2 linked regions of the Astyanax mexicanus genome follow. Each later gene encodes a partner of the first gene's protein in a complex. Links are inferred from orthologs where the notes say so. Each region holds a gene or a part of one and is shown in the gene's direction. Other genes may lie near its edges.

The links.
Region 2: serine-threonine kinase receptor-associated protein (region 1) and gemin2 share a complex: the UniProt entries of both Homo sapiens proteins name them as parts of the SMN-Sm complex. The link is inferred for Astyanax mexicanus from reciprocal best matches to the Homo sapiens genes STRAP and GEMIN2.

What each region holds. Positions count from the first base shown.
Region 1 is NC_064409.1:2,001,705-2,009,307, reverse strand, and holds the start of serine-threonine kinase receptor-associated protein, read left to right. Parts: upstream 1-4,582; 5' UTR 4,583-4,815; intron 4,816-6,059; 5' UTR 6,060-6,077; coding exon 6,078-6,189; intron 6,190-6,969; coding exon 6,970-7,105; intron 7,106-7,267; coding exon 7,268-7,349; intron 7,350-7,603. Other genes in the region: etnk1 (ethanolamine kinase 1), read right to left, coding at 1,992-2,141. UniProt on the Homo sapiens protein: The SMN complex catalyzes the assembly of small nuclear ribonucleoproteins (snRNPs), the building blocks of the spliceosome, and thereby plays an important role in the splicing of cellular pre-mRNAs.
Region 2 is NC_064421.1:1,227,986-1,235,549, forward strand, and holds the start of gemin2 (gem-associated protein 2), read left to right. Parts: upstream 1-4,561; 5' UTR 4,562-4,657; coding exon 4,658-4,773; intron 4,774-6,301; coding exon 6,302-6,386; intron 6,387-6,488; coding exon 6,489-6,578; intron 6,579-7,295; coding exon 7,296-7,355; intron 7,356-7,564. UniProt on the Homo sapiens protein: The SMN complex catalyzes the assembly of small nuclear ribonucleoproteins (snRNPs), the building blocks of the spliceosome, and thereby plays an important role in the splicing of cellular pre-mRNAs.

The sequences.
Region 1 (7,603 bases):
ATAATTAGACACTTCTAGAAGGAACTTGTACTCAACTGTATATACTTTTAATAGCTCCTCTGTGTGATTTATATGACAAAATCTGAAGCAAATATGATTAAAAGTTAAAGATACTGAAAGCAGATTATAACATGTAAAATCCCCAGTGTTACACTGTTTATTACATGTTTAAAAGCGGGTGTAAAACTGCAGGATGACCTGTAGGCCATAACATTTATCAAGTGGAGACACTAAAAAGTTACGTCCTGTCTTTGACCCACTGGTGACAATTGTGATAGTGATTTTTTTGGGGGGAAAATAATATATTTTTGCATCATAAAACCCTGCATGTATTACAGACGTAGCTAATAATGTCTCTTATGTGTAAAACATTTGTGTGGTATCCTTTAGAGGCTTGTTAAATGCTTTATTCTATAATAAAGTAGCTCTTTCACCTAAACAGAACCTGAATAAAACCTAAATGACTTTCTTTATGTTCTAATTTATTTATTTTATAGGGAACAGAGCTTCTGGAATGAATGTAATCATTGAATGAATAAGAAGAAACTTCTAGAAGGAACTCGTACTCAACTGTATATACGTTTAATAGCTACTCTGTGTGGTTTATCTGACAAAATCTGAAGCAAATATGATGGAAATCTAAAGATACGTTGAAGGAAGGTTATAGCATGTTTATTTTAGAATCTATGTGTCTGCAGATAAAATCTCCAGTGTTACACTGTTGTTACACATTTAAAAAGGGGGGTTGAAACTGCAGCATGACCTGTATACAGGTCAAAAACCTGATATCATGACAGGGCATAACATTTATTCAGTGCTGCCCCGTTTTTGACCCAGTGTTGCTGATAGTGATAGTGATATTTTGGGGGTAAAACTCTTTACAATGAATGCAGTTTCTGAGTGTATGTACTACAAGTCTAGCTAATAATGTCTCTTATGTGTAAAACATTTGTGTGGTATCTTTTAGAGGCTTCTTAAACTGGTTTATTCCTTAATAATGACGCACTTTTACCTGAACAGAACCTAAATTCCTTTTTTATGACACAGAGCTTCTGGAGTGTGTGTTATCATTGAATGAATAATAATATATACATGACTGTATATACTTTTAATAGCTACTTTGTGTGATTTATCTGACAGAATCTGAAGAAAATATGATTAAAAGTTAAAGATACCTTGAAGGCTGGTTATTAACATTTTTTTTAGGATCTACGCATCTGCAGGTAGATAAAATCCCCAGTGCTACACTGTTGTTACACGTTTAAAAAAGGGGGTGTGAAACTGCAACTTGAACTGTAGGTCAAAAACCTGTTATTATGACAGGGCATAACATCTATCAAGTGGGGACACTAAAATGTTATGTCCCGTTTTTGACCCAGTGGTGCTGATAGTGGTTTATTCCTTAATAATGACGCACTTTTACCTGAACAGAACCTAAATTATTTTTTATGACACAGAGCTTCTGGAGTGTATGTTATCATTGAATGAATAATAAGACACGACTGTATATACTTTTAATAGCTACTCTGTGTGGTCTATCTGTCAAATTCTGAAGAAAATATGATTAAAATCTAAAGATAGAGTGAAGGCGGGTTATAGCATGTTTATTTTAGAATCTACCGGTTTATAGGAAGCTAAAATTCTCAGTATTACACCGTTTGTTACACGTTTAAAAAGGGGTTCGAAACTGCAGAATGACCTGAAGGGTGTGTAGCTATATGTATCTATAGGCAGATGGGTTGTTACATTGTTACTTAGTTTGTTACTTTGTATCGTGCACGGCCCGGGGTTTGTTACTTTGTATCGGGTACGGGATTTACTAGTCGGTGACGCAGCTACAATCGCAGACTTGTAAGGCGATGCACGACCGGCCGCACGCGCCCCCTGCTTTATATAACCTGCCTATATTCCGTACAGCCCCCGCGAGCGGCTCCAGAAGAACGGGAGGCGCGCGCAGAACAGATCTAAACCCGTAAACTCCGCTCGGTTACCTTCATTTTGACCTCCGCTGGTTTCCAGTGGGGTCGGAGCTCCTCGATCAGCCGCAGCGCTCCCGGTCTGTAGTCGTGATCGTCTACGCTCACGTTGAGTTTGGGCACGGCGGGAGCGCCCTCCGGTACGTGGATGTAGTTGGTCTCCATGGCGGGGGGTCGCTGGCGGACAGGCGGCGGAGCTGCGGAGGTGAGCGCGCGGGTGTGGAGCTGAAGGGTGTGCGGGTTTGAAAGCGGGTCAGTTTTTAATGCGCCGCGGATCCGCCTCTACTGCTCCCTCCCCGCAGTTACTCAGCGCGCGGTGCATGCCGGATCTGACGAGTCACTGAACTGCGTCAGAGTTCTGGGATTAGGAGCTCATTCAGATTATAAATATAGTTTTTATTCAGTTAGAGAGTGAAGAAGACCCCAGATCTCTCAGCTCTCATCAACTGAATATGTGTCAAGAACTTAATGATCCAAAAAATGTCTGGCTTTCAAATGAAAAATGTATAATTTAAATATACAGCTCTGGAAAAATTTTACCAAATTGAAAACCTCTGGAATATAATCAGGAAAATGGATGATCACAAGCCATCAAACCAAACGGAACTGCTTGAAGCAGTGTGTAAGACTGGTGGAGGAAAACATGCCAAGATTCATGAAAACTTTAATTAAAAACCGGAGTTATTCCACCAAATATTGACTCTTAAAACTTTATGAATATGAACTTGTTTTCTTTGCATTATTTGAGGTCTGCATCTTTTTTGTTATTTCAGCCATTTCTCATTTTCTGCGAATGCTCTACAAGACAATATTTTTATTTGGAATTTGGGAGAAATTAACACTGAAAGCCACTGCTGTAAAAAAAGTAAGAATGGAAGAATGTTTTGTAAGTGGTTGAGACCAAAATAAAAGCATGATGTTTGGAGAAAGGAAAACGCTGTCCAGCGTAAAAAAAACTTATCTTATCTGTGAAACATGGTGTTGGTAGTTTTATGGTTTGGCCCTGCTTTGCTGCATCGTGTCCAGAACAGCTCTCCTTTATTGATGGAACAATAAAGTCTAAATGATATCAAAGAATTCTAAAGGAAACTGTCAGGACATCTGACTATGAACTGAAACTCAAGAGACGATGGGTTATGCTGCGAAACTTTTTTTTCAGTTTGGTTACCAGTAAAGGAAGGACTAAAATAGATTAAAATAGCTGCTGAAATTAGCATTGAGTCGTATGGAAGCCCATTTCCAAAACCTGAAGAAAAAAAAACGTCCTCAACTAAGTCATAATTATGAGTTAGAAAAGTCATAATTATGGGATAGTAAGTCATAATTATGAGATAGTAAGTCATAATTATGAGATAGTAAGTCATAATTATGAGATACTAAGTCATAATTATGAGATAGAAAGTCATAATTATGAGATAAAAAAGTCATAATTATGAGATAGTAAGTCATATTTATGAGATAAAAAGTCATCTCATAATTATGACTTTCTATCTCATAATTATGACTTAGTATCTCATAATTATTATTTTCTATCTCATAATTATGACTTACTATCCCATAATTATGACTTTTCTAACTCATAATTATGACTTAGTTGAGGACGTTTTTTTTTCTTCAGGTGGCGGAAATGGGCTTCCATAGAGTCGAGATTAAAGAAGTGGAAAGACACGCTCACAGACTCAAACTGTCAAACTGATAGTTAACAGGGTTAGCTGGAAGCAATATTCACCAACATCAGCTCTATCATACTAAGTTCAGTCAGAAAAAAGTAAAGGATAAAAACTAATTCTAATCTATATAATATAAGATTGATATTAGCCTGTAGAAAAAATATATATTTACACTGGTTACTTTAATAATTATTTTTTTAAAACTTAAATTTATAAATTGTGTACTTTTATACTTAAAGTAATTTTGAAACCAGTATTTTTACTTGAGTCAAAAGCTTGAGTTATTTTCGATTACGATTTACATTAATTTTATTATTATTTATTTATAATATATGGAAGCCTATTCCCAACACCTAAAAAAACAAAACTTTTTTCTTATTATTGAGATAGTAAGACACTATTTTGAGACACTATCGATAGTAAGTCATTATTTTGAGATACTATCTCATTATTTTGAGATCTCATAATTTTCCAAAAGCAAACACTATCACAGAATAATGACTTGTGTCTCAAAATAATCACTTGCTATTTTAAAATAATGACTTAGTATCTCCAAATAATGAGATAGCAGTTTACTTAATATAAAAGTGAATTTTAGGTGGCGGGAATGAGCTTTCATAATAATTTTATGTTCCAAAATAGGAGCAAACACCAAAATAATCGTGGATAGGAACTGTTGAGGAGGACAGTACTGAAGGAGCACCAAAAGGCAGCACTAATCGCTGCCTGAGTAACATATTCACACTGTTCAATAAGCAAATATTATGTTTTACATGCAATTAAATTAGTATACGATGTGTTGAGTGAATTTATTGATTAATTATCAGTGGGTCTGTGTGCTGAGTGTGTTGTTTCAGCTCGGTTGTGTGTGTGGGTGTGTGTGAGAGTGTGTGTGGAGCGCGGTTTCCTGTCGGTGCCGTTATGTGTGTGAGAGCTCTGCGGCCTCCGGCGCTTTGGGCTCTGGCTGTAGCTGTAGCTGCTGCTGGTGGCACAGCACTTTCAGTGGGTGCGCACCTTCTCGCTGTCGCTCTTTAAAGAGTTAAAGTTCCATCCACAGCGCTGTTCTCCTCGAAACAAACCCTCTATATTTATATATTTACCGGGCTAGAGGTCTTGTGTGTGTGTGTGTGTGTGTGTGCGTGTCCGTTCATTTGCTGTGCCTGTACGAGGTAGGTTCATACACTACACCGGTAAGCAGAGCTAGCTGAACTGCGCTAAGCTAGCTTAGCTAATGGTAGCTAACTACTGTGGCTACTGTATACTGCGTGGGTAAGCTAGGTTAACTAGCTAGCTTATCTACGTTATTCTGTGTAACGTTACTGTACATTAGCGTTATATGTGTTAGCTAGCTAGCTTAGCGAATGTGACTACTGTATACTGCGTGGGTTAACTAGGCTAACTAGCTAGCTTATCTACGTTACTGTGTCTACTATATACTTAATATAATGTGTTAGCTTAGCTTACCTACAGTCTTTGCTGTGTGCTGAGGGTGTTCGCTATAGCTAGCTAACTGTATATTAACGCTATAATTGTCAACTAGCTACATAGCTTAGTTACTGTTGCTTTAGGAGTTGTACTGAGTGTGTTAGCTACCTAACTATCTAGCTTAAGCATGTTAGTGTGGGTTAACTAGGCTAGCTAATTAGCTTAGCTAATGAGTCAACTGTATATTTCGTGGGTTAGCTAGGGTAACAAAGTTAGCTAGTTAACTAGCTTAGCTACGTTAGTGTGTCTAATGTATATTAACGCTATATTTGTTAGCTAGCTAACTAGCTTAGCTAAAGAGTCTACTGTATATTACGTGGGTTTTCTAGGCTAGCTAATTAGCTTAGCTAATCAGTCAACTGTATATTACGTTGGTTAGATATCTAGCTAGTTAACTAGCTTAGCTTCTGTGGCTAATGAAGTTATACTGAGTGTGTGTTAACTAGCAAACCTAACAAGCTTAGCTACGTTACTTTGTCTCTTGTTTATTAACGCTATATGAGTTAGCTAGCTAAGTAGCTTAGCTAATGAGTCTACTGTATATTACGTGAGTTACCTAGCTAGTTAACTAGCTCCGCTACTGTGGCTACAGTAGTTACACTGTGTGTGTTAGGTTAGTTAGTTAGCTAGCTAGCTAAGTAAATTAACCTAGCTTAGCTGCTGTGGCAACTGTATACTGCAGGTGTTACCTAGATAGTTAGCTAGCTAGTTTAGCCAGCCCACTGTTTAGATCTATCTAAATTACGTTTGTTTTTGGCACTGTTTTTCAATAAATATGTATGATATTGTTTTTAGCGTTTTAACTAAGTTTTTGGTAAGTCTTTGGTAATGTTTTCTCTTATCCAGCTCAGTCCAGAATCAGGCAACATTAGCTGTTTGTTAGTTAGTATTTTAGTGACTAACCAGTTCTACTCTTTAATTTCTCCAGGTTTATCTGTGTTAAAGAATGGCTATGAGGCAGACTCCGCTCACCTGCTCAGGCCACACCAGACCTGTTGTGGATCTGGCCTTCAGTGGAATCACTCCTTATGGTTATTTCCTAATAAGTGCTTGTAAAGGTAGGTTTGGATTGTTCAAGTGAACAATTTTAATTCAAAAGAAGTGAAAAGAATAGTGGTGTATGTGTGTCACAGACCCTTTAACCCATAAGTACCAAAATAAAAATTGAATCAGATAATTCAGTGAGCAGCTCATTAATGTTTGTTTCTGACTGTGGGAATATGACTGTCGAACAACCATTAAGGATTAGATTTTCTGTAGAAACTTGCGTCATCATCAGATGTTAAAGAAACATGCTTTAAGAAAACACATTAACACACTGTCCTGTAAAGTATGTAAAGGACAGATTGCTGTAAGGAACATTACACATCTTTTAACCCCAAAAAGCCAATGGTGATGTATATATGTCACATACCCTTTAAAAGTTGTGTAAAGATCTTTACAGCACTACAACACTGTCCTTCACTTTCTGCACAGGGCAGCCAGAGTGTGAATCTGTATTCGTTCATCTCATCACCATTTTCCTATTTACAGGATGTATGTGTACTAAGTTTAGAGATAAGTTCTGGAGATAAAATAGCTCCTTCTTTTAAAATGTAGTATTGGGTTCTAATGGTCTGTTCCAACCATTTAACCATTTAAAATTCGTCTTAATGATAGTTAGTAATTTGTTGTCATTTATGTTTCATCATGAGTTTAACCTTAAAATATTTACAGTCATGATCCCACTAGTCTGGGCTCTTATGGGTTAACTTGTAATGATAAGAGAATTCTGTAATCTCTGTGTCTGTTTACCTTGTGCCTTTTCCCAGTATTCGTTATTTGTTTGGTCTTTGCAGATGGCAAACCGATGTTGCGCCAGGGGGACACAGGGGACTGGATTGGGACGTTCTTGGGTCACAAAGGTGCTGTTTGGGGGGCCACCTTAAATAAAGAAGCCACTAAGGCGGCTACTGCTGCTGCCGATTTCTCAGCGTAAGTGAATTGTGGCGTATTTATGCTTTTTTCTAAATTGACCACGAAGGGACTGGAAGATATTTATATTATTATAGTGGGTTATGCCCTTGCAAGTGCCATTGCATGAGCGGCATCTGTGTCTGGTAACTAAGTTGTGTATTTTGTCATCTTGTCTTACAGAAAGGTGTGGGATGCAGTCACTGGAGACGAGGTCCTCACCCTGGCACACAAGCACATTGTTAAATCTGTTAACTTCACGCAGGTAACGCCCAAATTGAGATAAAGAAATACAATAGGAATTGGAACATTATTTTGCTACTTCTAGGAAACACATACACAGTACACCTATACACAGGTACTTAGCACAGCATTGTGTACATGGTCAATTGTTTGGAAGCTTATTTTACATTTTAAGTTTAAGTTTTTACATTTAGTTTGGATTTTATATATATAGTTACATATCACTGTGTATAGCTCTGGATGTAAAATAAGAGACCACTTAAAAATGATACATTT
Region 2 (7,564 bases), on another chromosome or scaffold:
CATTTTTCATGTGTTATTATCTAATTCAGAGAGACAAAAACTGCCTTTCCTGCAAAAGTACTGATCTTGGGTAGATCAGATTCTGTTTTAGGCTTAAAATAGCAAAATATTGTTAGCCGTGTCCGATACAGAGCTCATTTTCATAATGGAGGTCATCTTTGTCTTCATTTTTACAAATATGGCACACTCTAAAAAACACAGGTACGATATGAGTACTTTTTTGTACTCAAAGGTACAATATTGGTCTTTACAGGGTCAGATTTGTTCCCTCTAAAGTACAAAGTCATTTCTAACAGCAATAAGTACAAATTTGTACCATTTAACCTGCAGCCAAAAGGTACATTCAGTATTCTGTATCACTGTACTAATAAACAATATATATTTAAATTGCACATTTCTCATTTGAAAGCCAGACAATTTTGGATCATCAAGTTTTTGAGCCATATTTAGTTGATGAAAATGATCATAATCTTTATAATCTTTACTGGCACAAAAAACATGGGTACAAAAAAGGACTTTCACTGAAAGGTACTTTTTTGTACCTCGATATAAGGTACAGCCCCAGCGACAAGCTTTATACTCTTTTAAGTACAAATCTGTACTTACTTTTCTTAGTGTGCAGTCACTGCTATCAGGAGAGTCAAAGAAGGTGCTATTACCATCAATCTCAGGATTTAAGATAGTGTAATTAGTGTCTGACAGTGTGAACTGTATGTATTAACATCACTGGCCAGGAAACCTAAAAAATCACTGTCCTCGCTGTAGTTCATCAAATAGCAAGATTAAATAAAATCATTGAAAATAACTAATGCAATGCCAAATAAGGCGCCTGCACATTTGACTAGTCCTAGATGTGTCTGGATGGCTTCACTAACATGCCACTATCATATTGATGTCACTGCTGTGATGAGCTCTGCAATACTTAACTATAATGAAGACAAGACTGCACTCATTTTTCCCACCTGTATTCCGGCACATCCCGCCCTCTGCGCTGGGATTGGCTGGCGGTGGAGAGCTATTTCTGCGTGAAACACTGGAGAAAATCAGGAGCTTGTGGGGGAAAATCTTGTCATTGCTTTGATGAGCTCTGCAATACTTAACTTCACTAGTAAAATGACATCTGGTCAGCAGTGGTCCCATGGTGGTCACTTTCTACCAATGGATGGAGTAGAGGGGGGATAATATATATATATATATATATATATATATATATATATATATATATATATATATATATATATATATATATATATATATAGCTGGGCTACCGTCAGTAATATTAATATAAGATATATTGGAACGTGGCCACCTCCTTTTTATAGATTATCCTTTTTATCTACTTCACACACACAAAGTGCTCTTATATGGTCAGTGTGTTAAAGCTCACCTTCCGCGAAAATCCGATTTTTCTTGTTTTTTGTGGAATACAGTAGGTCTCTCCGAGTTGAATGTGTACACCTGCACATTAAACTGTTTTGCAGCCCCCATTGTCTGCAGGAGCTAAGCAAAGAAATCCCCCCTCCCCCCCTCCGAAAAACGGGTGAATTTTGAATTATCTTTCTGCCTACGTAGGCAGAAACTCACAGACCAGCCCACCTTGGCTCGAGAAACTCCCAGAGGCGGAGCTGAAGCGACGCAACATCACCGCTCATCAGTTAGGAGGTGGGAGGCAGTGAGCGGCAGAGCGGTGGAGGGGCGTCGCAGTGCTCCTAGCCAATCAGAGGAGAGATATTTGCATGCTGTTTGCATGTATGAATATTCATGAGCAAAGCTGGAATCCGGTCATTTTGGACACACCCCTAAAACAGTCCATTAAAAAAGAGCTATACAGAGACACCTGAGCACTTTTTTTTTACAAAAACGGCTCACATGTCATTCATTCATACTAAAGACCACAACTAGACATTTTAAAATGAAAGAAAAAACGACGGAAGGTGAGCTTTAACTACAACAGAGGAAACTCTCGCTTTCCTGGGGCAGTCTGGATGAGTGCCAGTTCTATCACTTTACTTAGTTGAGTAGTTGTTGTTTCTAATAATCTGTATTAGAACATTACTCAAATAGAGCTATCTACTGCATACCAACTCTACCTCTTTACTACTTTACAACTAATGCTCTCAAACACATTAAGAGACAAGAAATTCATCATGTATATAAGATCCAGTACCCACACAATGACTTAAACAGGCACTGCCAAAGGTGGGTAAACCATTACTAGAAATAGTCAATTCATCCCTTAGCATGGGCTACGTACCCAATTCTCTTAAACTGGCGGTCATTAAGCCCATTATCAAAAAGCCAAATCTGGACCCCCGCGAGCTTGCTAATTATAGACCAATGTCTAATCTTCCTTTGTAGCCAAAATCCTAGAAAAATGTTTGTTTAAGCAGCTACGCTTGTATCTACAAAGTAATAGTATGCATGAGGTTTTTCAATCTGGATTTAGACAAAACCATAGTACTGAAACAGCTCTACTTAGAGTAACTAATGATTTACTTTCAGCTCTTGATAGGGGCAGTACTGCCATCCTTGTACTGCTAGATCTTAGTGCTGCCTTTGACACCGTAGATCACGCTATTCTGCTTGATAGGTTAGAAAATCTTATAGGAATTAAAGGATCAGCCCTCACCTGGTTCAGATCTTATCTGAGAGATCAATTCCAGTGTGTTTATTTAAATAACGAATGCTCTTATGAGTCTAGAGTAAAATATGGTGTCCGTCAAGGATCAATACTGGGCCCATTACTCTTTACTCTTTATATGTTACCGCTGGGTAAAATCATTCGTAGGCATGGTATTAACTTTCACTGCTATGCTGATGACACGCAACTTTACAATGAGGACCTCTGTCTTAATCAAATAACAGACTGTATTAAAGAGATTAAAAATTGGATGACACACAACTTTCTCTTACTTAATACTGATTCTATTAGGTCCTAATATTGATAAAAACATAAATGTTAATACTGTAGATGTAGACGGTCACTTAATTATACCTGGTAAAACTGTGAGAAACCTTGGGGTCATCTTTGACCCAATTCTTTCGTTTGATGCTCACATATGTAGCATAGTCAAAACTGCATTCTTCCATTTAAGAAATATAGCTAAAATCCGCAGTATACTCTCTCTGGAAGATGCTGAGAAGCTGGTACATGCATTCATAACCTCCAGGCTGGACTACTGCAACGCGTTTACACCATAAACTCCAGCTAGTTCAGAATGCAGCCGAGTGCTTACCAGAGCTAGAAAGTTCGATCATATTACACCTATTCTTTCATCCCTACATTGGCTACTTGTTAAATTTCGTATAGATTATAAAATACTTCTCCTGACGTATAAATCCCTCAATGGTCTGGCCCCGCATTATCTACAGGAACTCCTTACTCCTTACAATCCGCCGCGTTCACTCCGCTCCCAAGACGCTGGCCTGTTATTAGTCCCGCGTATTAGAAAAAACTATGCAGGAGGAAGAGCGTTCTTTTATAAAGCTCCCCAACTTTGAAATAGCCTCCCTATTAATATACGGGACTCAGACACACTCTCAATCTTTAAATCTAGACTCAAAACATTTCTATTTGCTCAAGCTTTTGAGTAATGTCTCATTACAATTTTCTTCCTCTTACAGCTTATCCAGCAAATATAAACCCTGTCCTAATCATCTGCTTTCTCTTTCTCTCCCCATGTCCTGAGCTGCTGCTACCAGTGCCCATCCCACTCCAGCAGAGTTTTATAAAACCATTCTAACCCCTTTTTCTTCCCTTTTTCAGCCCTGTCCTTCTACTCAAAAATCAGAATTATTACACAACCCTTCTAACTCTTGCTTTTTGTTTCTCTTTCTTTCCTTTCTGTTTTCTCTATCTATCTCTTTTACATGTATGGAGATGCTGTTCCTGATGTTCCCAGCCTGGCTCTCCACTGCCCGCTGTGTTGTTCTCCGGCTCTGCAGCCCTGCACTGATTACCATTAACACACTCAGTATCTGTTTCTGTATTAGCCATAGCTCTATAGTTTGTGCCCATCACATTCTTATATTCATAAATTAGTACCTGTTATATTAGCCATAGTTCACATTAATTCTCTGTACTGTTTTGTTCTGTTTGTTGTTTGTTGTTTGTTTGTACTGAGCGGGTCAACCCGAGTAGGATGGGTTCCTCGGACTGAGTCTTGGTTCCTTCCAAGGTTTCTTCCTCTTAAAGGGAGTTTTTCCTTGCCACTGTGTCACCATAAAATCAGCATCTCTGTGGTGCTGCTCATAAGAGGCGTGGACCTGTTTTTCCTGTAAAGCAGCTTTGTGACAACATTTGTTGTAAAAAGCGCTATATAAATAAAATTGAATTGAATGTAATTAACTCTTGATGAGTTCAGCACAGCTGTTAACTGAAAGACTGAATTCCAGGTGACTCTACCTCATAAAACTAACTGAGAAAATCCAGCAGAGATGTTCAAAACTGATCATCTAAACAAGAGGAGCTACTTAGTGATGTGTGTATATGAGCTGTGCTGCAGTAGCGCGGTGTGTCCTGCAGGGGGAGGTAGTGGTGGTGTGTGTGTGTGAGCTGCAGGCGGAGAAGAACAGTGTGAGGTAAACAGTAGCGGGAGAGCTGTGTGTGTTGAGAGCAGGTGAGTGTGTGTGTAGAACAGGTGAATAGAGGACAGGGATGGAGGAGCTGATGCCCAGACTGCTGCCGGTGGAGCCGCGCGCGCAGGAGGAGGAGGAAGGATACACTTTAAAGGAGCCGCCGAGGAACCCGCAGGAGTACCTGAGACACGTGCAGTACGAGCTTTTAGCACACACACTCTTATACACACACACAAACACACACAAACACACACACACACAGACACACACACACACACACACAGACACACACACACACACACACAGACACACACACACACACACACACACAAACACACACACACAGACACACACACACACAGACACACACACAGTTGTGTAAGCACAGAAAACTATAAACACTAGTTAAAGGATATTTATATCTCTACTAAAAAAACAGCGGAGAAATTAAAATAATGTATATTTTAATGTCATCATTTTATGGACTGAGTGCTACTGATTGGCTGCTAAAATGAAAATCTGGCTGCCGAGTGCTGATTGGCTGGCACTGTAACTACTGAGAACTGACTGGCTGGCATTCTAACTATTAAGCACTGGTTGATTCTGACCAAGAGCTAAGTGCTAAGTGGGCTGGTATTCCTAACTACTGACTACTTAATAGACTCCGACTACTGATTACTGACTACTGATTAGCTGGCATTCTGACTACTGACTACATTCTTTCTGGCATTGTGACTACTGACTAGCTGTTATGCTCACTACTGACTACTGACTAGCTACCATTCAGACTACTGACTTCTGACTAGCTGCCATTCTGATTACTGACTAGCTAGCATGTGATTCTGACTACTGTCTGGCATTCTGGCAACTCACTACTGACAATCTGGCATTCTGACTACTGACTAGCTGGCATTCTGACTATTGACTAGCTGGCATTATGACTACTGACTAGATGGCATTCTGACTACTGACTAGCTGGCATTCTGACTAGCTGGCATTCTGACTAGCTGGCATTCTGACTACTGACTAGCTGGCATTCTGACTACTGACTAGCTGGCATTCTGACTACTGACTAGCTGGCATTCTGACTACTGACTAGCTGGCATTCTGACTAGTTGGCATTCTGACTACTGACTAGCTGGCATTCTGACTAGTTGGCATTCTGACTACTGACTAGCTGGCATTCTGACTAGTTGGCATTCTGACTACTGACTAGCTGGCATTCTGACTAGTTGGCATTCTGACTACTGACTAGCTGGCATTCTGACTAGTTGGCATTCTGACTACTGGCAATCTGGCATTCTGACTACTGACTAGCTGGCATTCTGAATACTGACTAGCTGGCATTCTGACTACTGACTAGCTGGCATTCTGACTAGTTGGCATTCTGACTACTGACTAGCTGGCATTCTGACTACTGACTAGCTGGCATTCTGACTAGTTGGCATTCTGACTACTGACTAGCTGGCATTCTGACTAGTTGGCATTCTGACTAGTTGGCATTCTGACTACTGGCAATCTGGCATTCTGACTTCTGACTAGCTGCCTAAAGTCTTTATACCTCGTACCCTGGCCTGGATAGTGCACTGTCCTGGGCTAGTTGAAGTGCCCTATGTAGGGAGCATAGAGTGATTTAGGATGCAGCCTCACAGAACTAGTCTGAGTTGTATGAATGTGTGTGTGTGTGTGTGTGTGTGTGTGTGTGTGTGTGTGTGTATCACAGGCGTGAAGCTTCTCTGTGTCCGGATGTTGTTGTAGCTCAGATTGATCCCAAGAAGCTGAGGAAGAACCAGTCAGTGAACGTTTCTGTAAGTGTGTTTGTGTAAGATATAATGATAAGTGTGTGTGAGTGTGTGATATAATGGTGTGTGTGAGATGCTAAACGTGTGTGTGTGTGTGTGTGTGTTTAGCTCAGTGGCTGTCGGACGGCTCCTCACGGATTCTCCCCCAGCCTGAAGTGGCAGCAGCAGCAGGTCAGCAGCTTCTCTGAAGTCAGACAGGTAAAACACTTTTTATTACTTATCTGAGTAAAACAATCACTGAGCATAATAATGGTACAATAAACATTTTTTGTATTTGTAATAAACATTTTTATCAGTGTGTTAAATTTAGTAAATAAATAGAAACTGTCTGAAATGTGTAGAAAAATGTTCTGTAACATTTTGTTTAACATACATGTTAAATAAAATGTTATATAGATGTTCTTCTGTCCTGATGGAGAAGCAAAATCCAAGGTTTACTTTTTACAATTTTGAAGACTTTTATTATGTAAAAAAAGAGTAGATGTAGACCTGCCACAATATCTGTTTTTGCTTGGATTATATAGTGTCCCAGAAATGATTGCAGTAAACAATATTATTGTGATTTTATGCCTCTGATATAATTATAATATAATGGCATAATACTGCAATTATCAGTTTTAAAGAACACTAAACTGTAAAAACATAAACAAAAGAAAATAAAAACACTGTTTTTGAACAAAGTCAACTTATAGACTCCTTCATGTTTATAAGATCTTCCTGCCTAAAGGAACAAAAAATATATAAAATGATTTCAGCAAACAAAAAATGATTCAGTTTGTGTCCACATATTGTATGATAAATCGATTCTGTAATTATTGTAACAGACCTACAGTACTGGTGCAGTAATCGTTGCTGTATATCTCTTCTCTTTAAATGACTGAAGTAAAGTTACTCCTCTCTCTGTTTGTGTTTCAGAGTGTGGCCAAACACCGGCAGCACTGGAAAGCTCAGTTTCTGGATGATAATGTTGTGATGGTGAGCAGCAGATCAGCAGAACTGATCAGTAGGGTTCTGTACCAATCCTGAGAGTTCTTTAATCAATACGCTGTAGAAATGAACCCTGTCAGTCATTCAGAGAGCTGTTAAACACCAGAAACACCAAAAACTATTAAATGTACAATATATAAAAAACAAACATGTGTATGCATAAAACCACCCTGGCCCCACCCTCTAAAGCCCCACCA